Drosophila melanogaster: one gene and its partners. The gene in region 3 interacts genetically with the main gene of each other region. Each region holds a gene or a part of one and is shown on either strand. Other genes may lie near its edges.

Region 1 (5,249 bases), 180 kb from region 3:
GTATTGCGTGTTCTCTAGCCGGGTGATCAGCCGCTCGTCCTCCTCACCAAACTCGCCGCCCATCAGCGTCGGCTCGCCCACCACCATCACGTCCTGGGAGGAGAGGGAGAAACTGGGACCGGAGGGGGAACGCTTCTGGTTCGTCACAGGCGGAGTGTTCGAGTTGTTGCCACCACCCGAGTTGGAGCCCTTCCGTTTGCGCCTCTTGTTGGGTGGTCGTTGCGGATCCTTCTTGCCGGGCGGAGCCACCATGCGCTGCCACTTCTGGAACAACGTTGTCTTCAGGCAGTCGCGCGGACTCAGTGCGTACGCCTTGTGCCGCGACATCAGCTCCTGCATCGGTTCGAGGATGACGCAGAGGCGCAGATAGTTGAGGGTGGAGTTGGTGATGCCAGCGCGCGTGATGTTCTTGGTTATTTGATCTAGCAGCATCGGGTCAGGCGGCAGACTGGTGCCGATCACGGACCTTGGAATGAGCTCGCGGTGTCCCTTGATGGTCATGTGCCATGACTTGATGCGCATGTAGTCGTCGTACATGAACTCCAAGATCAGTCTTGCGTCGGCGCAGACCTTCGTGAAGAAGGGCTTGCCGTGCTGCGTGATCACCGTGCACTGGTCGCAGTCCAACGTGATGGACGTGTTGTGGAACGACTCCTTGGCATGCTTCAGCTGAAAGTACAGGTCCGAAACGCCGCCCTCGTATATGCTGCGGAAGAAGCGCGGGATGAGCGTGCGCCCGATGGTGTACCGCTTCGGTCCGTCCTCCAGGCAGAACAGAATGGTCAGCCGGGCATCATCCTCGAAGAACTCCGTGGTAAACGAGTCCCACCAGCAGTTGTCGCTCTCCTCGTTGCGCTGCTGCAGCCGCTTGTTTAGCTCAAAGACGCGGTGTTCCGTGTGGCTAAAGTAGGAATTGTGCCGCCTGAAGCCCTGGTCGATGCGTTCCATCTGCTGCGGCCCGCCCATCATCGGGTGGTTGCCTCCGTGGCCGAATGGCGACGCCGGCGGCATCGGATTGAATTGCCCGCCAACGCTGAATACCGTGGGCGATGAGAAGTGCCCGGCCTGGCCACTGTTAAACGGAGTGCCCGAGCTGGCCGGCCGGCTGAACTGGCCGAGTCCCGAGGATGGCGAGCCGAAGGGCCCGCCAACTGGACCATTGAAATTGCCCGCCGTCGCCGACTGCGGGTAGTTGCCGGGAATGTTCTGCGCACCAACAGGTCCGGGTGTCGATGAGCCCGAGGGAGCAGGTGAGGAGGTATACTGAGGTGTGTTCGAGCCAGGCTGGTTGGAGTTCTGGAACACGATGGACTGGTTGCCGGCTGGCGAGGATTGGCCGGCGGGCGGGTACGGATTCCCGGCCGAGTTGTACGGCAGGCCGCCCTGCGCGAAGCCGCTCTGGTTGCTCCCGTCCGGATTGAGGACCGCCGAATTGGACGCGGGCAGCATTGATCCGCCCTCGGAGACCGCCTTCCAGCTGCCGTCGTCAATGTTCGCTTGAGAAGTCATCGTATTGCCAGCGTTCAAACCCCTACGATTCATGCCTGTGGTCGGTTCTATCGGGCATTCGCGTCGGCCTGTGAATGGAGAGGAATCCATTAGTTTGAACCCATTATTATTTCGGCGTTTTGGGGGTTTCGGGTTCGGTATATTTTTATGGTGCCCATGCGTATGTGTATGCACTTGTCTGTATGTCGCACTGCATTTACAAAATATGTGTGTACACACACACACTTTTCACGGCCCGTTCGCGTTCGAAATGGAAAACGCTGCGAAGGGCCGGATCGGCCGGATTTCAGTGCAGGCAGACTGCTCCCGTATACGCACCTTGCAAAAGGCATACAATATTTTAATTCTTAAAGCACAAACACATATAAATGTATCTACAATTTAAGAAAACTGATTGGCCTCCACCGATAGTTTTGCCATCGCTTTCCAAATAGCAGATTTCGATAGGTGAGAACGCAAGCGTGGGTTTGTCTCGCGTTTGGAATGAACGGAAAAACGACCTATCGCCTGGAGGGTTTTCATGTTCTTGAACAAATTTTTTGTATGACGTTAAATAAAACTAACGATTCAAGACTGTTTCTCATAGTTTGTTTTTAGTTTCTTCGAAATCTCATACCACCCTTAACGTATTGTACATCAATTGCCACATATACCCTCTAAATAATTGATTAATTGTAAAGAAAAACCTATCGACCGACTCAAGCAGATTCCATTTCCATTCCGTTTCACTTTGTCCCACGCCGCACCCTTGACTTAATAATTTAGTATGTGCCGTGCCGTAAAAATTTGTAATCAAAATATGGTTGTAAGACTGTTGCTTTAACGTCGGTAGTTTATTTTATATTTATGTAATTTTGGCCTGTGACACTGCAAGCCCGTGGTGTGATGCGAAAGTGTTCGATTTTTATATACTAGAGTACGTGTTTAGGTATGTTATTTATAAACTGCATTAATTTCGCACATCTTCCAGTGTCCGTTGAATGGTAAACATATTTTTCGCCATTGAATAATCAGAAATAAGCGGAAACTTATTGGCCAACAGCCGACGAAATCCCTCTGCTTATTTCCAAGGGCTTGTGAAAATGTGCTTCGCTATGCAGTTATATATGCACATTCCTGTGTATGCATGTGTGTGCTGCAGTGTGCGTTTCCTACACTCTAAAAAATGTTCTTTCCCTTGCAGAGCGAGAAAAATGTCAACCGAGAGTTTGAACAGTTTGAGCGACAAGGAACTGCACAGGAAGCTAATCCAGAGCGGCTTCCCCAGCACTCCGGTGACGGAAACAACGCGAGCGGTCCTCATCGAGAAGTTGAGAAAGCACACGCGAGCCGACAAGCTGAAAAAGAGGAGCAACAAGTACGTGCTGTACTCCAAGGAGCAGCAAGAGTCGCCCCCATTTCCACAGTACCACCAGTACCACGCCCCACAACCGCCCCAAAACTACGCCAATGGCCTTGATAACAATAACGACCTGGACCAGACCGGAGGCTCCTCAGCTTACAATCGCAGTCTCGATGAGAGCGACTCAAGCCCGCTTCAGTTGTCCGCCTCCAAAATGTACGCCCCACCACCGGTTGTGGCTTCCAATTACGATGGAGACTGCTCGCCGCACAGCTTGGGGTTAAATGGCAAATACCTGCAGCCATGCTCCATGCCGTACGCCATAGACACGTCGAATAACTATGGCAAACCGAGCGGAAAAGCTAAGTTATCTGACGGAGGCGTGGTAAATAGACTGCTCAGCTTTCGGGATACCACGATCCAGCGGAAGTTCAACTATCCCACTGGCCAGGCGTCGAGAATCCCGCTCAGGAAAGAAAGGCTAACTCGGTTCGCTTTGTCGGACCTTAAATCCTTCATCAGGAATCCCGACATCAGGCCCTATGTAATACCACGAGTGCTAATTTCGCTGTTCTTAATATTTTTGACAATAATCACTGTCCTCTATGTGGGCAAGAGGTTCGAGCAGAGCCCCATCGATAAGGCCGCACTGAAGTATACATTATGTAACCCCAACGATATGCAAATGATCAGCGAAAAGGTGAATTGCATCGAAAAAGATTCGCTAAGGGGTGCGCTGGACATGAGCGAGGAACTCTTTAGGCATCTGAACGAGCGAGCCAGGCTCCATCACTGCAAAGACGCCAATTTGTCGCCCGCTTTGGAAATAGGAGAGTTTGTGCGGGAAATGGTCAGCAACCCAAAGACTCACAGGGGAAATCTGCACAGCAACTTGATGGCTGCCAAATATTTGATTACCGAGAATCCGCAGTGGAGCATCCAAGTGGTGGATTCAACGAAGCACCTTGGACAGACCTCGCACTTCGAGCTTTCTGAACCCAATCTGCCGCTCAAGTGCATTGTGTTGAAGAAAGTTACCAGGTTTTTCACCGTTATCGGTGCACTTCTCTTAATAGTCGCTGGATTTCTCATCGTGTACGTCGCGGTAGTAATATACCGAGTTAAGCAGAAGGAAGCCCTGTTGGCGGTCGATCAGTTCCAAAAGGACATAATAAACGAGCTAATTTACTTGAGCTCCCAGTCCGAGAGTCCCGAGGTAGTTATTAACCAGCTGCAGGAGAAGTTTCTGCCGGCCAAGAAGCGCTCAAAGCTCTTGTCTTCTTGGAACAAGGCCCTCAAGCAGCTGGAGAAAAACGATAGCCGTGTGCTGTTCGGAATGGTGAATCGTGACGGGAAGGCAATGCGCACAATTGCGTGGAACAGGAACGTTGACAAAAAGGATGTGGGGCTTGTTAAGAAGTGGCAGAGTCCCGCCTTCGATAACTCGAACAAGATTGCCAACCCGCCGACTCCCTGCCTGAAGATTAGGCACATGTTCGACTCCTCAGAGGTGGATCAGGCCAATCTGAAGCAGTCCATCGTGGAGTCGATCATCGAGAAGGTCGGCACGCGCTGCAAGATCTGCGATGTCCAGCTGGACGTGCAGTCCTGCTGCGTGTACATCCGCTGCGCCAGCGAGGAGGACGCCGGCACGATTCACAAAGAGATCAACGGCTGGTGGTTCGACAAGCGCCTGATTTCGATTAAATTCTTAAGACTGGAACGCTACCTGAGCCGTTTCCCCAAGCCCTCGGCCGAGCCACTTTACTTTCACACCAACGAGGCAGCCAACACTCACTCATAAAACACACAACTCTACATTAGATACTTAAGTTATTAAATGCGAATTTGTTTTACATGTACAGCTGGAGTTGTCGTATTTAATCGATTTATTATGAACTAGACTTTAAAACTTAAAATCTGCTAAACACTACCACTACTTAGCTAGGGAGTTGGACGACAGAGCGCTTTCCCCAGTTTCCAAGTGTTTGATAAGCCGGTACAGGGTAGCAGCCTCCTTGATTTTGCTGAAACCCACGCAGAAGGCTTCGATTTCAATGAATAGTTCCTGGAAAATAACAATAGAATAGTCACTAAGCACAGTCGAGGAAATGGTAGTAGCGCATACCCTAACGTTCACAATCTTGTTCCTAATCAAGGACTGCAGAAATACGCAAACGAGTCGCACCAGGCGAGACTGCATGTACTTGTCCTTGACTGTTTCGCAAGTCGAGATGCAATTGCTGATGTATAGGTGAATAAACTCAGTGGGCAAAGGTCCGGAGGTGGTTAGTCTGGAATGAGAGCTCGAGCATGTTAAAGAAGCCTTCAATACTCGATGTTTGGATTCCTACCGGTTGACCACCTCCATGGAGTGAAGTGTTATGTCCATGTTGAC
Region 2 (7,871 bases), on a different chromosome or scaffold from region 3:
TTAGCATAGTTTACACTGTTAGTATAGTCATGTATCCCAGTAAAGTAAGAAAATTATAACACGCTTTCAACTCAAGTTGAATATGAGCTTTAGGAAAAGAAATTGAATAGTCAAATTTAATCGTAATATTGCACAGTCATAAAGAAGGTACTCGAGTCTTAGTTACTGACATTTAAGGTCTAGGAATTTTGTATCGCTAAAAATGGTAATATTCAACTCAAGTCGAAAATCATACATATTAAAAATCTTTTAAGAGTAAATCATTAAGGTTTCAAGTGTTGGATGCGCACCGACAATGATGTTTTCTTCGTCCAAGCCAGAACTCAGTTTGACAACTAGAGCAACGCGAAACTGCATGGTCTGGCACCCAGAGGACACTGGAGGCTTTTTTCTCTTGAATCGAGGAAGGGGCATACGAGGCGGGACCACTACGTTCTTCGACGGCCTCCCAGGAACATGTTGAAGCATTTTCAACGATATCCGATCCATTTTCCTAGAGAAGAGTTAAATAATTAGACGACTGACAGTTAATGCACATTGTAACTTATGATTAGATGGCAGAGTATTGCCCCTGATTGAAACACCACCACCACTTCGCGCTCTGGTGATTTAAGGATGAAACAAATTCATATTTTACAGAATATGCACTGTGAGAATCCAAAGACCAAGGCCCATGTTTTAAACAAATTGGGCAGTCACTTTGCACCGAGGGTCTATAACTAACATTAACCACGCTTTTCAAGAATATATGCACGCATTTTGTATCTTAAACGATCATTATTTACATGTTCCATATTTGTCGAAACGATGCTGTTGCAGCTGGGGCAACCTTTTTCCAACAGAGCCAGTCGCATACCGTGTATTTCTCGCAGTAGCATTTCCTCACGTAGCTGAAATAGTGTATGTGATTAAAATGACTATAATGAAAACTGCTTTTGCACCGGAGCTCACCTTGTGTTCTTGTACGATTTGGTGGAGTCTTATGTTTTGTTCGCTGAGTCCGTGAGCCAGGCCATCTGGACAGGATATAGTGAACTGAGCCCTCTCCTGAAATGGTGTTGGGGGCAACGAAATGATCCCCGACGACGGAAATTGGTGTGCGCTGAAAGTAGAGTTTTTTTTTTTTTTGATTCAGTCCAATGGGAGATGCCACCAGTGAGAAAGTACACACAACTCACCTGCCATTTTCAGCCGTGAACTTCATATCGCGACTGTAGCTCGAGCCGAAGGTATTTCGCCGTATTCGTCCGCCCGTCGAGGGAGCATCGAATGGCGACTGGCCCACGAACCGCTGAAGGTCGGGTGATATAAAGAGACTTTCCTCGCCGTTGTAGCCATCGGATGCCAGCAGGGATCCGTTGGCATTGGCATTCGCATTTGCATCTTTGGCTAACTTTTCCGGCTTGCAACGGTCCGGATTTCCCGTCGTCTCCCTTGGCACTTGTAGGTCCAGGTGATGGGGAAAAGCGTCTACCCGCTGCGGGCATATAACGGCATTCGGTCTTATGTGTACCTTGGGCAAATTATTGTAGCTCTGACTGATTTTACTGGCTTGGACAGTGCTAGTCGACTCCAGCTTTCTATCACCACTGACCAGTTCCATTGTGGGGGATGTTATGTGATCTCTACTGCTATTGTCGCTGTTTGGTTTTTGTACGGGCTCCGCAGGAATAAGGGTATCAGTGCTGGTTTCAATTGCGCCATGCCACAGGGCGCGAGAAATATCACTTGTGTCTTCAGATTTTAAAGGAACTGGACTTTGATCTGAAATCATTAAGATAGTTAATGTAACGTATTCATTCTATTCTTCATTCTAACATCTCTTACCGTTTTCGGATGAACCAAATATGAAAAAAGGTCGCCCAGATTCAGAGTTCAGTTTCTGTGAGGTCGCCAAGGATTCTTCAGATTCCGAAGGAACTGCATTTTTATCTAAAACCATTAAGGTAGTTAAGTTTAGTTAAGTTCTTTTGCTTTATCCTAACATCTTTTACCGTTTTCGGATGAGCCAAAAATGAAGACAGACCCAGGGATCAGCTGTGAGGACTCCAAGGAACTTCGCCTTTGCGTTTGTGATTCCACTTCCAATATATCACGTTTAGAAGCTGTACTTTGGTCGTTATGGAAATCTGGAATGGGATTATTTGAACGGCCACATGGACCTACTTCAGTTGCATCCGTCACGTCCAGCTCTACTTCTTTGGAGTCTTTAACACTTTCTTGGACATTTTCGCTAACACTGTTGTTGGCCTCGGATCGTATGTCAAACATCGAGTTGCTATTGGCATTGAAACAATCTGTAACACTGAATCGTAGGGAAAAGAACGAAATTCATTTTGCTGCCGGATCAAATAATCTTCAGTTGACCTACATGGATTCAACGGTCAGGTTGGGATCACTGGACCTCCTGGAAATGGTGCTCTGTCCCAACTCATTCGTTGTTAAGTCTTCAGAAGATCGTGTCTTCGCCATGAGGCCTATTGGTTGTGGCAGTAAGGAGTAAAAAGTGAGTCAATTTCAATTAGGAGTACTCTACTCAACTCACCATTGTGTCCGCTCTGTCTTTCATTACTTAGTAATGGTAGATCAGTTCCATTTTTGTTGCCTAAACTACCAAGGTATACATCAGACCAAAAATATAAAAACCGCACACTGTGCGCTGGCCAAAGAACCTAAAAAAAAAAACACAAAAATCATTAGCATTCTCCTTTAGGCTGACAGCATATATCAAGTTATTAACCACCTTTTCAGTCTCATGCTTATAGAGAGGATTTCTATACATAGTTTCCGCTAAAAATGGCCACACGGAAAACGTTCGGTCGAAAACTGAATTCTCGATGCGTTCTCTGAGCGAATTACATAGGAACGTGCCGAAGAGACAGGACAACGAATGTTGCGCCAGTTTGATCTAAAAAGAATGCATATAACAAGGAGTTAATGTGCACAACTCCGTGCGAAATTCCATGCCACCACTTACCAAATAGCTTATACTAAACTCAAAACTGCATGGATACTGCCTGTGTATTTGATGCACAAGATCAAGCCACTGCAGAAAAACTGGACATCGCTCGTTAACTTCATCGGAATTGGGACCATTTCCAGAGCGATCGGCGAATTTGTGTCCAAAGTTCAGCCATTCACGCTCGACAAGAACGCGGAACCCCTGCAAATACAAGCAAGTAGGTAGAGTATTAGTCCATAGAACACAAATGTTGATGTATATCAACGTACCTCAACCGTTCTGTAGTAGGGATCCAAACATAATTGCGCCGTGGCCACGATCTGTGGAGTGCGATCCCAACCGTCTGAGCAATGTACAAGGACGGGTCGTCCATTCTTCTCGATGGTGTGCACAACGGTCATGGTGGCTCCCAGCAGACCCGACAGGTGCTGCATCCACATGGTCTTTTCCAGTTGTCCGTACCAGCTGCAAGAATATGATTCCATTACATAAATATATATATATCTTTAATAATCAGCTAGTAAACTTACTTTGGATCATCGGGGGATGACGCGCATAGCTGTCGGACAGCGTGGAAACTCTTTCGAATGGCGTGGATGTTGCCCAAGTTCATAAACTCAATCTCTGCACAGGGATAGTACTCGATGCACTCACAGCCGCCACCTCTGGCACGATTTGTAACTGCGGAGGTGTAGCTGCGAGCATCCACAATGAGGATTTTCTGAAAGCAAATACAATTTAAGAGCAATGATCAAATTATTTCATTAGCACTTGGCGGTTTTGACATCATTTTACTGCTCCGTGTTAAGTAATTTATGATAATTATTCATGAATGTTTTCTTATATGGTAACTGAAACCTTCATTTCAAGAATACCCGGCTATTTTGGTAATAAACTTACCTTGATTTCATCCAGCGTGAGTTCCTCATGCGAGGAATCGTCCAGAGATGGTGAACTCTTGCCGGATAAGCCCGACTGGCCGTTGGTCTCCTTGGAGCCCTTTGTTGGTTGCGCCTTTGCATTGGCGCAGGTGGAATGCCTGGCGTGCTCGCCCCTGTCAAAGGCACAGGCATCGGCGAGTGCCTTGAGTAGCTGCTCGTCCCTTGTGTTGCGCCAGCCGAGCCAACCGACCTCCGGCTGGCTGCATCGGGCCAAGATGGCACCCGACTTTTGGTGCCGCCAGACGACAGCCGGCAGCCTTCGTGATCCCCGGAAGTTGGCCACGTTGTGGAGCATCTCATCGGTGATACAGCAGGGCACAAGCAATTTGGGTGGATACGAGGGACAGAGCTTAAAATCGGCATTGGCCGTGGAGATGCGCCACGAGCCCTTCAGATCGAATCCCAAGCGGGCAACCTCGTTCTTAAAGTCGCTTTCATAGCGCACTGATCGTTGCAGGCGATTGCTCATGGCGGCTGAGATGGTCTCGCTGGCAGGATCGGGCAGAGGATTCGACGCTGTGACGTTGGCTGTTGGCTTTGCCAAGCCATTGTGTAGCGTTAGGCAACGATCCTTGGCAATCAGGCCGTTTCCGTTGGCCTGGGCGCTAACGATACCGCTTCCATTGCCACTTCCGAGCACATCGCAGGTCCAGGAGTAGAAGGGAAAGGCGAAGAGTGTCTCCAGTGACTCGGGAACCCCGATCATCAGATGGATCCGGCGCTGCCAGTCGGAGCACTGTTCCGCCGACGGAAAGGAGCAGCGCACAGTGCTGGCATCCTTACAATTGACAATCAGCTGGAACAGATCTCGCACCTGTACGGATTCGATTAATCCCAATGGAACGTAGGTCTCGTAGCCGGTTGACTGCTTGGAAAGGAATATCCGATAATTGGACAGGGCGAGGATACCATCATCCGTGCGCCCCAGGTACTTAATCGATTCGCCGGCCACTAGTGGTATATATACTATAGATTAGCATGTGTTATCGGTTACAGCATATGGGGGAACACCTACACTCTTGAAACGGGACGAACAGCTGGGAGTCTTCCTTCTCCATTTGTGACTTTGGATACGATTCGGCGGCACGGATAAAGCAAATCGATGGAGGCGGTGATCCATCGGACATTGTGTGAATCGGCTAAAAGAATACTTAACATGTAACGTATTCGAAATTACTTATTTGCTTATATTTAGGCAAGGCGATTTGGGTGTCATTGGAAATCCGGTTATCGCTTATAAGTGCATATATCTCTTATATCCACCATCCGAATACATAATTACGCACAACAGTGTGTGTGCGATGTTATTGGGACGATTCGATACGTATAGTATAGTGGCTCCCATAAATAAATAAATAATACTATGCACATATGTGCATGTGCATTAAGCAGTGCACAAACAAAGCCAAATAAATGTCACTGGGATGATAAATTGGGCACAATCAACACTTTTAGAACAAATCGAAGTTAATATTTGAGTTTTTGAGTGTCGTGGTGGCAATATAGATAATGCACTGCATATATATGCACGTATGGATGTACAATGTACAATGAACATACATTTATGTGAGCACACACAGTTGCAGTTCCACAAGGTGCGCAATATATAGTATGCACATATTTGTGTGTCGCTGCATTACATACGCACGCACATATATACCAATAGACTAGATTATCACGATTTCATAGCCAATAGGCGAAAAATGGCCGATTATCGTACTCAACGTATTCTAATGGCCGTGTATGTTGTCATAAACAAAGTAATTAAACATTTACGCATGTGTATGTTTGCATAAACTCATATGTATATTTGTCTATGTAGGTATGTTTGTGTTTCGATATTTCGGGGAGCAACAATAACACATTACAATCGTACATATGTATGCACACACATTTGGTTTTTGGATTCCACAAACCGTTCGCTCAGCAGACTTTTCGGGGTATTTAGCTCAAAACGTATTGCCGAATTGAAAACGCGCTTGGCTTCTAGATTTTCTCGCTCTATTTACCACCATAAAATCCATAAGCGTCAGCTATTATAAACAAAGATTTGCAAATGTTGTTGCACATACATATGTATGCATATGTATTCATTTAGACACTTTTTGTTTCATTTCCATTGAAATTGCTATCGTTGTTTGCTGCTATCGCTGTTATCGCTGCTGTTAGCGATGGCCAAGTCATGTGACTAAGCTATCGTTACTCGATTGCCGATGAGATGTGCATTCGAGACTAACCAACACTGGCCAGCCGATAAAATCAACCAAAAATTTGTAAAACTTAATAATTGTGCGTACGTTTGCATTCCATTCCAGCTGATGTGTAACTGAAATCAGAAAAAAAGAGAACCGATCGCTTGGACTCTCCGCCGGTGCACGCAATTCTACGCCCACTCCTCGCCAGCCGCATTCGCCATTCGGAAGCCGAACAAGAATGTTTGGAGCCAGAATCGGAATCGGAAAGCTTGGGCCGTGTGTGGCCCTAGTTGCGGTGAGTCGACGTGTTCCGTTCTGTCTGGTCATGTTGCTGGTCACTGGAGTGGCTCACCCGCTCGATCAGCGGGCGGGGAAACAGTGGGGAGGGGCCGGCCAGACAGCCCCGGCTTTTTTTTGGCTCCCCCTAACCAAATAACTAACTAACCAGAACTGACATCCTATGGAATTTACAGATTCTACAGCTACTCCAGTACACACAGCCGGCCGATGCCGCCGGAGCCGTGCCCATGACCAGTGATAATATCGATATGACCCTAGGTGAGATATGCCCATACCATAACCATCACAGTCATCCCCATGCCATTCCCGCTGCCAGCGTGAGCGGGAATCAATTAGCCGACTTGTCCCATTGACGTGTCACTAAACAAAATCACTGGCTCGCTCAATTCGGCACTGCCAACGTGGTAAAATAAGTTTTATGCGCTTTCGTAAAGGACAAGGTGTGGAATTTGGATAAAACTTAATTAGGGCGGTTTATATTTCATGCTGCATCGGTCCGATAGTCCGCCAAAATGGGCACTAGCCATTGGTCGGCAGTTCTTTGCTCAGAATGTCCGAAGTTTGGTCTTTGCATGAATAGGTCCTTTTTATACGGTGTGTCCTGTACACAATCCTGCGGTAATACTATATTGTTTTTTTAAAGTTATTTTTTTTTATTATCCAAACGTTAACTTTTACAGTAAAGCCTGGCCTTAGGCTTGCACCCCTTAAATTTTAACTTTCGGAAGTTATGGAATAGTAGGATGCTAGAAATTTCTTGACTTTAATATGTATATTCAGCGACAAATTTAAATATATTCCATAAAAATACATATGCATTTAAATTATTAATACATAAACCCGTAATTCAATATTGATATAAATATATTACCAAATATATGTTTTTAAAAGTTATTATATTTAGTATCTGAACGGAGTTGTATTCTACGCATCAACAATTTTACACACAATTTGGTGCCTACATTAAAAACACGTTTTGTTTTCTTGCAGCGTCTAATGAATTGGTTTTCCTTAATTTTTATGCGGAGTGGTGTCGGTTTAGTAATATTTTAGCACCTATATTCGCGGAAGCTGCAGATAAGGTGAGTCAAATGGATCGCCAGTAAAAGCTTACAAACAATGCGATACATTCATATACATTTTATATCGAATAAATACGTGGCATTCAATCGAATTTCTCTTACAGATTAAAGAGGAGTTTCCAGAGGCTGGAAAAGTGGTGCTAGGCAAGGTCGATTGCGACAAGGAAACGGCCATCGCGTCCCGTTTCCACATAAACAAGTATCCAACATTGAAAATTGTACGCAATGGGCAGCTCAGCAAGCGCGAATACCGAGGACAGCGTTCAGCCGAAGCGTTCCTCGAGTTCGTCAAGAAGCAGCTGGAGGATCCCATTCAGGAGTTCAAATCCCTGAAGGATCTGGAGAACCTGGACTCGAAGAAGCGCCTCATTCTGGGCTACTTCGATCGTAG
Region 3 (3,972 bases):
CTGTTACGCAGGTGTTGCAGCTCCTCGTCGGTGGTGGAGTTGGGCACCAGCAGGCCGTTGCGGTTGCCCACGGTGAGGCGGCCGATGATCCGGCAGCCGCCCACATTCGCATGCACCACCGGGATGGTGTCGCCCAGCTCCGCCTCGAAGGCGCTGTAGAAGGTCTCGGATCCACCGATGGCCACCAGGCAGTATGTGTTGGTTAGTTTAGTGAAGACGCCGATGTCGTCGTTGTTCTCGAATTGGACGCGTAGAGCCATTTTCTCTGTATTTACGTGGATCCTCTTTTCCTGCTGGTTACTCTCTTTTCGGATTTACTGGCCTGACTGAGCCTGCTGCCGGATGAGTTCTGGATTCTGTTTATATGTCCGGAAATCAATTTAAATGTCGTGATGAAATTCGCACAATTTCGCTTCACGTGGTAATTTTTTTTTGATGTTGGGACGCCAGAGCTGCATAGCCATCGATTGGCTGCCTATCGAAGTGTGGGTCTATCGATACTCGTGGGTAAATAAACAAGTTCTGAACGGCGATTTCGGGGGTTTGAGGGGTCAATTGTCCCCTGTGTTGGAATGTGTTCCTAAATCTACACAAACACTCCCTAAGCTTATCCTAAACTTATAAATATTGGTTGCTATTTAAACCCCATTTCACGGTTATCCAGCACGCCCCTGAACTGTGACCCACATCCCCGATTTTAGTGACTAGTTTTATACTTATCGTGGTTGGCATTTGGTACACTACACTTTCTTATTCACCTAGATCGCCGACTCCGCGCACGGTCGCGCTCCCGTTCCCGCTCCCGATCTCGGCTGCGACTGCGGTCGCGATCCCGTTCCCGGTCGCGGCGACCGGCGCCTCCAGATCCGGATCCTCCGGCTGGCGCTACTCCGATGGCCTCCCGCTCCCGGGAACGGCGCTCCCTGCGCTTCTTCCGCTCGGATCGCTCCTTCTCGCGTCTCCTGTGCGCCGGCGAGGCGGGACTTCGGCTGCGGCCCATGGCTCCGTTTCGGTCTCTGCTTGTGTGGCGGTTTGAGTGATTGATGATGGTTTGCCTGCAGTGGATTTGAGCGGATGTTAGACTCCATGTACTCCAATTGCACCGCACGCATCCCGCTTACCGTTGCACTAGGCTGTGTCTAGCATTATTTGGGCGACACCGGCGGTGGGTAAAAACGCGCTAACTTAAAACTAAAACCAAATAAACAACGCGCGTTATCTCGCCGCGACGCCGAAACGGAATGAGGAATGCAGAATGCGGATGATGATGCGAGGGATGCGATGCAAGGGCAAAACATGGCCACCTATCGGATATCGATTGATGGTCGATTTTATCTTCGATAAAAATGTATCCTATGTATATCGCATACCGAATGTTTAAATCGATCTGTTTCCTTTTGAATATGAACTATGTATATATATTAATTAATATTTTTTAATAGCATTACCTATATTATATTTCAAATTATGCCCGGACTATGATAAATTTAACAAATTCATAATTACAAATCTTTCGTCAATACCACTTCCATAAATAGTTTAAAATATCAAAATATTACGAACTTTGCCAATATAAACGTTATATTTTCTACATTTACACAGTTTCTTCTTTTTTTTTTTGAAGCTATTAAACCACATATTTGCTCACGATCGCAGCTGAAATGAACTACTATGTTGGATCTTCTAGTTCGATCTTCAAGACCGATTCATTTTCCAAGTCGCGGGACTGCCAACTCCCGCGAAATAGAAAGAAAATGCATCTTGAAGATTAAGATACACACAACAATCCGTAAGTGCGTCAGAATTTTCAGAACCCGCGGTTCGCTGGAACTCTCGAAATAAACAACTAAATGCCACTGTACATCTGAAGCTATCGCAAGTGGATAGCGCCGTAGATATAGAAAAACAGCGATCGCAACCGATCCGTCCAAAACACGAAATAATGTCGGGACTGCGAAACACCTCGGAGGCCGTTGCAGTGCTCGCCTCCCTGGGACTCGGAATGGTTCTGCTCATGTTCGTGGCGACCACGCCGCCGGCCGTTGAGGCCACCCAGTCGGGGATTTACATAGACAACGGCAAGGACCAGACGATCATGCACAGAGTGCTGAGCGAGGACGACAAGCTGGACGTCTCGTACGAGATCCTCGAGTTCCTGGGCATCGCCGAACGGCCGACGCACCTGAGCAGCCACCAGTTGTCGCTGAGGAAGTCGGCTCCCAAGTTCCTGCTGGACGTCTACCACCGCATCACGGCGGAGGAGGGTCTCAGCGATCAGGATGAGGACGACGACTACGAACGCGGCCATCGGTCCAGGAGGAGCGCCGACCTCGAGGAGGATGAGGGCGAGCAGCAGAAGAACTTCATCACCGACCTGGACAAGCGGGCCATCGACGAGAGCGACATCATCATGACCTTCCTGAACAAGCGCCACCACAATGTGGACGAACTGCGTCACGAGCACGGCCGTCGCCTGTGGTTCGACGTCTCCAACGTGCCCAACGACAACTACCTGGTGATGGCCGAGCTGCGCATCTATCAGAACGCCAACGAGGGCAAGTGGCTGACCGCCAACAGGGAGTTCACCATCACGGTATACGCCATTGGCACCGGCACGCTGGGCCAGCACACCATGGAGCCGCTGTCCTCGGTGAACACCACCGGGGACTACGTGGGCTGGTTGGAGCTCAACGTGACCGAGGGCCTGCACGAGTGGCTGGTCAAGTCGAAGGACAATCATGGCATCTACATTGGAGCACACGCTGTCAACCGACCCGACCGCGAGGTGAAGCTGGACGACATTGGACTGATCCACCGCAAGGTGGACGACGAGTTCCAGCCCTTCATGATCGGCTTCTTCCGCGGACCGGAGCTGATCAAGGCGACGGCCCACAGCAGCCACCACAGGAGCAAGCGAAGCGCCAGCCATCCACGCAAGCGCAAGAAGTCGGTGTCGCCCAACAACGTGCCGCTGCTGGAACCGATGGAGAGCACGCGCAGCTGCCAGATGCAGACCCTGTACATAGACTTCAAGGATCTGGGCTGGCATGACTGGATCATCGCACCAGAGGGCTATGGCGCCTTCTACTGCAGCGGCGAGTGCAATTTCCCGCTCAATGCGCACATGAACGCCACGAACCATGCGATCGTCCAGACCCTGGTCCACCTGCTGGAGCCGAAGAAGGTGCCCAAGCCCTGCTGCGCTCCGACCAGGCTGGGAGCACTACCCGTTCTGTACCACCTGAACGACGAGAATGTGAACCTGAAAAAGTATAGAAACATGATTGTGAAATCCTGCGGGTGCCATTGAATTCAATTTACCACTTAGGCTAAGCACTATAGCACTATATATATAAAGCATTTCTGTGTAGATGTCCATCTCTGTACTAATCTCGAATATTTTTATACAAAAATATACAGCGCTGTACCTAACTGAAGTTCGTCTCTTGAGGAGTTTCATTTGTGGCTAGTATTAAAAGATACTTCTTCTTTATTGTCTCACATCTACTCATGATTGGGATGCACAAATTTCAAATATTTCAAAACAACGATGATAGACGCAATGTGGTACTAAAAGTACGTATTTTGATTCTGGTTAGCTCTCATTTAAAATTAACAGTCATTTCACAGCAATAAAAGGCACAATCAAGTCCTATTTGGACTTCGGCACGCTTCTTTGGATCATTCTTAATTATTTTAGGACTCAATTAGTAGGGAAGCAGGCAATATGCGCGAGGAAGCGGGCTTTATCGCTTGTGAATCCAGTGGTGGCGGAAGGCAAACAATTCCATAATCAAGTTGCCGACACGCTTGTCAATTAGCGCCGACATCAGGCGGCCATCAAACACCGGTGTCTGCACATTCAACGACACACACGCATCTCTGAAAGGAGAGCACATTAGACTGGAGTATTCTCCGCAACTTGGATTGCACTTACAAGATTTCAAACACCGGAATGTTGTTTCGGAAGTA
Region 4 (7,943 bases), on a different chromosome or scaffold from region 3:
TGTGTGTGTGTGTGTGTGTGTGTGTGTGTGTGTGTGTGTGTGTGTGTGTGTGTGAGGGGGTAGCGTGTCGGGATACGCCCAGTTCGCCCGATAGGTGGCGTGCATTCGCTTGCTAACATTCCTGACGTGGGCTTGTGTGTTTGTCTGTTGGTCAATGAAGGCTCCACACGGTTATTATTTTTAGAAACGTTGCACGATGTCCAATTGTTGCTCTAATTTCCATATGAGTTTTTGTCCGTGCCCATGAATGAAGCGAAATATCCGCTTGGGTTGACAGTTCCAATCAGATAAGAACTATGCAATCGATTCGGCATATTCTGTCCTATGCAAATCGCTCGATTGCGCTAGATTTCACTGTGGCCCACACCACCGCACAGAGATGATCGTCGAGGGGCCCTTCGAAAAGATTGATTTTTGATTTATTTTGGCCAAACACTTTTTTGGACAATTTTTTTTTTTTTTTTTGCAGCAATCGATTGGCTCTTGTGGCGCTGAATGCCTATTTCTGCCGTTCGGCGATTTATGTCAGTCAAGCAGTGACAGCGCTTTTCATGAGCCAATAAAGTTGTCCATGTCGCTTTGTCATATTCATATATCATGGCCGTACACCCGGCGACTTATGTCACATTCACATGGCCCAAGAAACTGGAGTATCGAGCAGAGCCTGCGCATAAACGAGGCCTAAGTGCGCGATCGAGAGACGTCGTCCGTGATGGTGACGGTGACAAAACACAATTTGGCCAGGCCAAACAAACAGTCAGACAGACGGAGGGACAGATAGACAGACCTATAACATACTTGTGTACAAACAAACCAGCTAAAAAAGTCGCATATAAATCAGCACACGCAGCTGGTTCATTAGACTCTCCACTTCGGGCTCTTGGCACTGCCATTTGGCTTGACATTAATTACATAAGCTAAGCGGCGCTTAATAATGCGCTCAACAATAGAGCAAAAGTGCTCGAGACCCAGTCGACCAATCTTGTGATGTAATGGCCTCCCCCATGCGAAAGTTTCACCTCTTAACACTCCGCCAATATCTTGAGCTTAGATGGGCAATTTGTTTATTGATGGTCCTCTTTAAAAATCTATGAAATTATGTGTACTTAATACTTAAATAAATACTAATACTTAATACTTAAATAATTTCATACCTTGTATAAGCGCGTTATTTTTATAAGTTAAACAATTTGATTTACTAAAGAATATCAAAAAATATAATCATGAGTTATTTTTAATGGTACCCTAATCTCTAATACGCATCTTAACATAGCTTCCTTTCCATAAAAATGTTGAAAAGAATATTAAATGTAAATAAACGAGTAAAATTTGATTCAGAAAAGTCAAAATGAAAAAGATGGAATAGACGGTTGTTGAGTGTGGGAGCCGAAAATGCTTTATGAGTATTTGCATTTGAAACAGGTAGTTGTGGGTGTAAATCCATTATGTCCGACATATAAATACTTCGAGTATCAAACTTTATTTATATTTAAGGCGAACTACGTCCTTTTGTATTCAATTACAATTACGATTAAAAACCATTTGTGATAATCTACAGAGTAGCTGAGCGAGCAGACTATTTATTCTATATAGTACCAGCTAATATAAATTATGTTAGAGACTACCGCATTTGACAGCTGCTGAAGGATCAATGCGATCAAGTTCAATGGATGACGGAACCTCATTAATTATCACAGCCCAATGCTAATGATAATACCATGGGTAAAAATAGCTTTCCTCTACGCGTCCCCCTCTGGTGACATTTGTGCGCTCTCGCACTAATTTGCTTTATGATATCAATGAAATATCAGCATATATACACCCATAAACTTATATATATATATATATCTTTGGAGACATCGAAAAACTGTTTTCACGTTCCCTTCGAGAAAAGTCAGAATTTCTTTGGCTCCTCAGTCTTGTCTGGGCTCTCGACGGAATCGGTGCGTTTTCCAAAATAAAAATACTATTCCTGGTTTTTCCTTAAACTACAGAAGTATATATACAGACTGTTTTTATGTGTTTTAAATCAATTAAAGTAGTGAAATTCTCAGTGAACTCTAATTGCAAAAAGTGCCTTCGTTTGATGTAAATCCGACACATTTACTTCACGAATGACCTGTGAATATATGTAAAAAGTGTTGAACATGTGCTATTTATAAACCCGCCTTAATCTTAATGGCTTTGCTCCTCTATATGCCGCTACATATATAGATCTTCTCCCATAAATATGTTGGAGAACAAATAAAAAAAAGAAACGAATGTCGTGAAATCTTATTAATGTATTCTTTTTTATAAAATTTGAACCCAAGAACCCGATACAAGTGAGAGTGGAAAGGTGTGTGGCAGCTGTTCTATAAGGATCGGAAATAGGGCTGCAGAATGTGGGCGGCAAAATATGTTTTATGCGCGCTAGCATGCGTTGCATTTGCTTCAGGTGAGTGTGGGTGGAAATCGAAAATATTTCACGGATTTTGTGGAAATGGGAAATTTATTGGATAGCTTACAAGGAATTTTGGGGATTGTAAAAGATTATTATAGTTTGGATTGTGCTTCTTTAGATTATGGCAATCGGTTGGGTATTACGAAATATATCATTTAAATAGATTTAAATAGAGAATGTAAAAATGTATTCCAATTCAGACCTATTGAGTATTGTAATATTTAATTGGAAATTATAATTATTTGCCTTAAGGCCTTAAATTAAATCATTTTTTTTTTTTGATTATTTTGCTTTTTTGAAATGTATGTATATATATTGACCATTAAAATGTCCACAAAATGGTCATAAAAACCGTTTGGTTTATAGCTAATGGAGCATATATTCATAGTTTTATGACACGTTCTCCGGAAAATGTGTAACACAAAATAGTCATGGCTAACACGGGGCACTTATATATTTTAGCGAAATATTACTCACCAAATTACCGGCCGGCTTTATGAAAACTGAACATATAAAAACTGATCGTAAATCAAAACAAAGCAAGTCCCAAAATGACAAATTAAATTAAAAAACCGTGAAGACTATATGGCAAAGAAATATCTTTTGGCAACGATTCAAAAGATTGAATCACCTAGTTTTTATGGGATTCCCCTTAAAGGCAAAGATTCTAGGATAATACAATCGGGCTTTTTTTTTTAAACATATTTGGGTGATTGTGAACAGCTGTTTGTGGTATGGAGCGAACAATAAAATGTTTTATTGCCTTTAAGTTCTGGTGAGAAATCTTTTAGTGCACTAAATAATTTTGGATGCATAACACGGAAAACCGTTTATGTTTATGTTATGGGCATGTTCATTTTTTTTGATCTGCATACAACTTTATTGTTATAAAATCGCACAATCTTTTAGAACTAATGTCTCCAATCCCTGGAATTTCTATTAAATAGGCCTATAAATTTCAACAGGTTTCTTTTATGCTAATTTTCTGGTTATATCTTAAAAATTAATGTATTTCTATTTCCATTTAGCTTCTCCAAGCTCCGAGCGAAAAAGGAAAAATGTCATGAATATTCCAGAGGATCCTAAAGTTTCTGACTCCTTGGCTGCTTCTTTGGACATGAGCTGCTCGTCGGCCAAAATCCTTCCGCCGGAGATTAATCATGGTAGGGTGTCCGTTTTCGATCGCCGCCGGAGGGGAAAGAAGGTCTTCCTAGTGGCCTTTTTCGTATGCGATGATAACTACGACTTTGAAAACGGAATCTCAGAAATGTTTTGCTCGAACCAGAAATGGGTGGATGAAATACCCACCTGCATTCCCCAATTGAATTTTGAAGAACACGACGAGAAAGTAGGTTACGATTTGGAAGATTATTCCGACGAAACTGTGCCCAACGATTACGTCGAGAACAGTGATATTGATGAGGATGATGATGAAGAGGTTAGTGAAAGGGAACCACCACCGCCACCACCACCACCGGTAGTGGATGGAGCCGATTCCAAGCCTGAACCACAAATAGTTATCGAAATTAATGATGATCATGCAAATGAAGTCGTTGAATCAGAACCTGCTTTAGCGGAGACTGAAACTGAAAATGAGGTCCTTGAAAACGAAACTCCCCTGAAAGCGGAAGTCCAAACTGATGTACTCAACTCCAGCAATGCATCTGTTAAGGTCACCAATGATCCTTATGAGCCAACATTCTTGGATAACAATTGTGGCGAAGACAATGGAGGCTGTGCGCACATTTGCAAGCGATTGCTTTATCCAGATGAAAACCAGCCCATCAATAAGTGCGATTGTCGAGAGGGTTATACCCTGGATCCTAACGATTATGCTAGCTGCCTCGGTGGGTGTATTATATATAATTAAATTGAAAGAATTTGCTAGACAATATTATTCTTTTTGAAGATATCGACGAATGCCTGGAATCGAATGGTGGTTGTTCGGAAATTTGCGAAAACCTTCCAGGAGAATATAAATGTAGCTGCCAAGAGGGTTATTACTTAGACGAGTCAGGAAAGAGTTGTGTTGGTATGTTTTAATAAATGATATTTAAAAAGAAAAAAAATTCACATTAAATGGTATATACTTGTTTTCAGACATTAATGAATGTGCGAATCCCGAGCTGTCATCGAATTGCCAGGGTGCTTGCGAGAATCTGCCAGGTTCATATCGCTGTGTGGAGCCGCTGGAGGAGAATCCCGAGATCACGGAAGTCGTGGAGAATCCCATTGAGAAGACCAACGAAGTCCCAGTGAACGTTTCCGAATCACAACCCGCCGGAAAAACATGTAATTCTGGCTTTCAACTTTCCGCCGACGGCACTGATTGCCAGGACATTAATGAGTGCGAGGTAGACGGTCCTGAGGATCTTGATAATAACGCAGTCTGTCAGCAAAAGTGCGAGAACACTATTGGATCATTCCGTTGCACCTGCGTTGAAGGATACCACCTGCTCGAAGATCAACGAAGCTGTGCATTGGATAGCTGTACGGATCTGGAGAATCCCCAGTTGAATCGCACTCGATGTGCCCACGAATGCCAGGATTTGCCAGAGGGAAGCTACCGATGCGTGTGTCCCAAGGGTTATGAACTATCAGAGGATCAGCATTCCTGTTTGGTGCAAGAATCTCCATGCTCCACAGAAAAGGGAGTTGAAAAGTGCTCCCCGGGAACCTGTCTAGCCAGTGAGGATAATACCAGCTTCAGTTGCATTTGCCCAACGGGCTACCGCAGTGAGGCATTCAGTTGCCAGGACATTGATGAGTGCGCAGAGGATACACACCTTTGCAGTCACACTTGCCAGAATACACCCGGTGGTTATCAGTGCCAGTGTCCCGAAGGACTCAACCTGGTCGAGGAGTACACCTGTTTGGCCGAGAATCTCTGCGAGGTGAACAACAACGGATGCGAACAGATCTGCCTGACTGCCCGAGGAGGAGTTTGCGCCTGTCGCGAGGGATTTCGATTAAGTGCCGATGGCAAGAGTTGCGAGGACGTGGATGAGTGTCTGGTAAATAACGGTGGCTGCCAGCAGGTGTGCCGAAATCTTCCAGGTTCGTATGGGTGTATATGTGCCGCCGGCTATGAGCTCCTCAAGCTTGATGGCATACGCGGCTATTGCTTCGACATCGACGAGTGCTCGCAGAGAACTCATGGGTGCAGTGATCAAATGCTTTGCGAGAACCTCAATGGTTCGTACACCTGCCTCTGTCCACCGGGATATGCCCTTGGCTTGGATAACCACATAGTCACATCACTAAACAGCTCATTCATTACTGATTCAACCTCATCCGAAACCCCATCAGCGCATACATGCTTGGACATTGATGAGTGCTCTCTGGCCAATGGGAATTGCTCCCACTTTTGCCAGAACGAGCCTGGTGGCTTTCAGTGCGCCTGTCCCTTGGGCTATGCCCTATCCGAGGATATGCGCACCTGTCAGGACATTGATGAGTGCCTCGATAGCAATGGCCAATGCTCGCAGCTCTGCTTGAATCAACCTGGGGGATTTGCCTGCGCTTGTGAAACGGGTTTCGAGCTAACTCCAGATGGATTCGGTTGCGCCGACATTGATGAGTGCTCGCAGGACTATGGAAACTGTAGCGACATCTGCATCAATCTTTTAGGTACCCATGCCTGTGCCTGCGAAAGGGGCTATGAGCTGGCCAAGGACAAGCTAAGTTGCCTGGATGTGGATGAGTGTGCCGGCCTTCTTTCCGGTGGTTGCAGCCACGAGTGCATCAATAAGGCAGGTACCTTTGAGTGTGGATGTCCCTTGGGTTACATACTCAACGACGATGGTCGTAGCTGTAGTCCCGCTCTGGTGGGTTGTCCACCGGGAACTCAGCGATCCGCGGATGGATGTGCTCCAATTGAATGCAATCCGGGTTATACCCTGGGATCGGACGACAAGTGTGTGGACATCGATGAGTGCCAGAAGCAGAACGGTGGCTGCTCGCATCGCTGCTCCAATACCGAGGGTTCATTCAAGTGCAGCTGTCCACCGGGCTATGAACTAGATAGTGATCAAAAGACTTGCCAGGACATCGATGAGTGTGACCAAGACAAGACTAGTTGTATCACTGGAACCTGTATAAACGAGATTGGAGGCTTCCGCTGCGAGTTTCCCAAGTTCCCCGTTCTGCCGGAGATTCCCACAGCTTCGTCACTGCCTGAATCGCCCAAAATTGAATTGAAGACGCCAAAGTATCCTGATTTCACCGAGCTGTCCAATGAAATACCCGAGAATCCCAAGAAACCAGCTGAGTTCGATTACCCAGAGCCCAAGTTTCCATCTTTGCCTAAGTGGGAAGGTCTTCCAAAGCTTCCGCCCCTTGCTGACATACCTACATCGAAAGCACCCGTTCCCCTGCGTCCTGAAGTGCCTAAAAGTCTGTGGGTTAATCAGTTGCAACCCAGGGATCTGTGCCCTCGATTTCAGGCACCACGAAATGGCAAGTCCCACTGCAATAGGTATCGCCATAAGCAGAAGCTCTTCTACTACAGTCGCTGCCGAATTTCATGCAATTCGGGCTATATTCTTCAGGGTCCTGAGATCAAAAGCTGTGACGCCAATGGAATTTGGGAGGGGCCCGAAACCAAGTGTGTTGGTGAGTCATTAAGTTAAGTAATAGATTATACAGTTGGCATTCCGTACCTCTTCCGTACCTTTTCGCAGCCATCAACCAACCTCGTGCACAGAGTCCTGGAATCTGCCCCGCTCTAAAGCCCGCCCAAAATGGAGTTATACTCCCAGCTAGCTGCACTCAGGGTCCATCTCGATTTGGTGACGTTTGCCGTCTTCAGTGCAATGCTGGCTTCGTGTCCACCGGATCCTTGTTGACCGCCTGCATGATGCTGCAGGGCTGGTCGTTCGGTGCAGATCTCAACTGTCAGCCATTCGGAAACGGTTTGCTTGGAAATCAATTATCCCCGATGTGGAATTCTCCGAAAACAGTGACTCCTCATCAAATCCAGAATGTGGAACAGATTAGGCCCTATATCAATTGCCCGGAAAATGTTGTAATCCTACTGCATGCCGGTGAGCAGAAGGCTCATGTGACTCTTCAAAGACCCCAAACTAATGTTAAGAATGGCCGATTGGTCGCCCATCCCGCTTGGGCTGGTCAACTTCAGGGTCATCTGCCAGCTGGAGTCCATAAGGTTGACTTTAGAGTTAACGATCCGGAGACCAAGCTCACAATTAAATGTCACACAATAATTACTGTTAAGGCTGCAACACCTAGAGAATCAAATCCATTTACTTTGTTTCGAATATCTGATTATTCAAGATCATCACTTCCCAGACCGGCTCCATTTGCGACTTTGTCCACTGGTAGTTCATTCTCATTTCCTGCATTCAAAGCCCTGGATGCAACTCCAAAACCAGTTTCCTTTACCAAATTCCAAGTTTTCCCAGATTCTGAGTCATCAGAGCACTCGAAACTTGGGTCATCTTCCTTCTTCAGGCTGGAGCCCCTTTTCCACGAGTCATCC

Evidence for each region.
Region 1: of gbb (region 3) and MAN1, changing one suppresses a phenotype caused by changing the other (phenotypic suppression), as found in Drosophila melanogaster (one study listed by BioGRID).
Region 2: of gbb (region 3) and CG3632, changing one suppresses a phenotype caused by changing the other (phenotypic suppression), as found in Drosophila melanogaster (one study listed by BioGRID).
Region 4: of gbb (region 3) and frac, changing one suppresses a phenotype caused by changing the other (phenotypic suppression), as found in Drosophila melanogaster (one study listed by BioGRID).

What each region holds. Positions count from the first base shown.
Region 1 is NT_033778.4:24,031,996-24,037,244, forward strand, and holds MAN1 (MAN1), read left to right. Parts: upstream 1-1,978; 5' UTR 1,979-2,437; intron 2,438-2,692; 5' UTR 2,693-2,702; coding exon 2,703-4,655; 3' UTR 4,656-4,712; downstream 4,713-5,249. Other genes in the region: Chi (chip), read right to left, coding at 1-1,577, 1,684-1,705; Not11 (CCR4-NOT transcription complex subunit 11), read right to left, coding at 4,788-5,145, 5,206-5,249.
Region 2 is NC_004354.4:16,294,832-16,302,702, reverse strand, and holds the start of CG3632 (uncharacterized protein), read right to left. Parts: upstream 6,033-7,871; 5' UTR 5,928-6,032; coding exon 5,913-5,927; exon of another isoform or gene 5,796-5,912; intron 5,621-5,795; exon of another isoform or gene 5,464-5,620; intron 5,062-5,463; exon of another isoform or gene 5,043-5,061; coding exon 4,919-5,042; intron 4,855-4,918; coding exon 3,863-4,854; intron 3,684-3,862; coding exon 3,493-3,683; intron 3,428-3,492; coding exon 3,232-3,427; intron 3,164-3,231; coding exon 2,978-3,163; intron 2,909-2,977; coding exon 2,744-2,908; intron 2,673-2,743; coding exon 2,546-2,672; intron 2,478-2,545; coding exon 2,372-2,477; intron 2,306-2,371; coding exon 1,995-2,305; intron 1,933-1,994; coding exon 1,828-1,932; intron 1,765-1,827; coding exon 1,179-1,764; intron 1,103-1,178; coding exon 952-1,102; intron 891-951; coding exon 786-890; intron 494-785; coding exon 291-493; intron 1-290. Other genes in the region: ERp44 (endoplasmic reticulum protein 44), read left to right, coding at 6,337-6,393, 6,572-6,656, 7,389-7,480, 7,585-7,871.
Region 3 is NT_033778.4:23,849,813-23,853,784, forward strand, and holds gbb (glass bottom boat), read left to right. Parts: upstream 1-1,749; 5' UTR 1,750-1,942; coding exon 1,943-3,310; 3' UTR 3,311-3,435; downstream 3,436-3,972. Other genes in the region: ytr (yantar), read right to left, coding at 759-1,000; eIF6 (eukaryotic translation initiation factor 6), read right to left, coding at 1-260; bgcn (benign gonial cell neoplasm), read right to left, coding at 3,747-3,882, 3,938-3,972. UniProt on the Drosophila melanogaster protein: Required for the growth of imaginal tissues and for patterning of the adult wing.
Region 4 is NT_037436.4:7,560,697-7,568,639, forward strand, and holds the start of frac (faulty attraction), read left to right. Parts: upstream 1-1,913; 5' UTR 1,914-1,996; exon of another isoform or gene 1,997-2,312; 5' UTR 2,313-2,382; coding exon 2,383-2,437; intron 2,438-3,471; coding exon 3,472-4,290; intron 4,291-4,352; coding exon 4,353-4,475; intron 4,476-4,543; coding exon 4,544-7,057; intron 7,058-7,125; coding exon 7,126-7,943.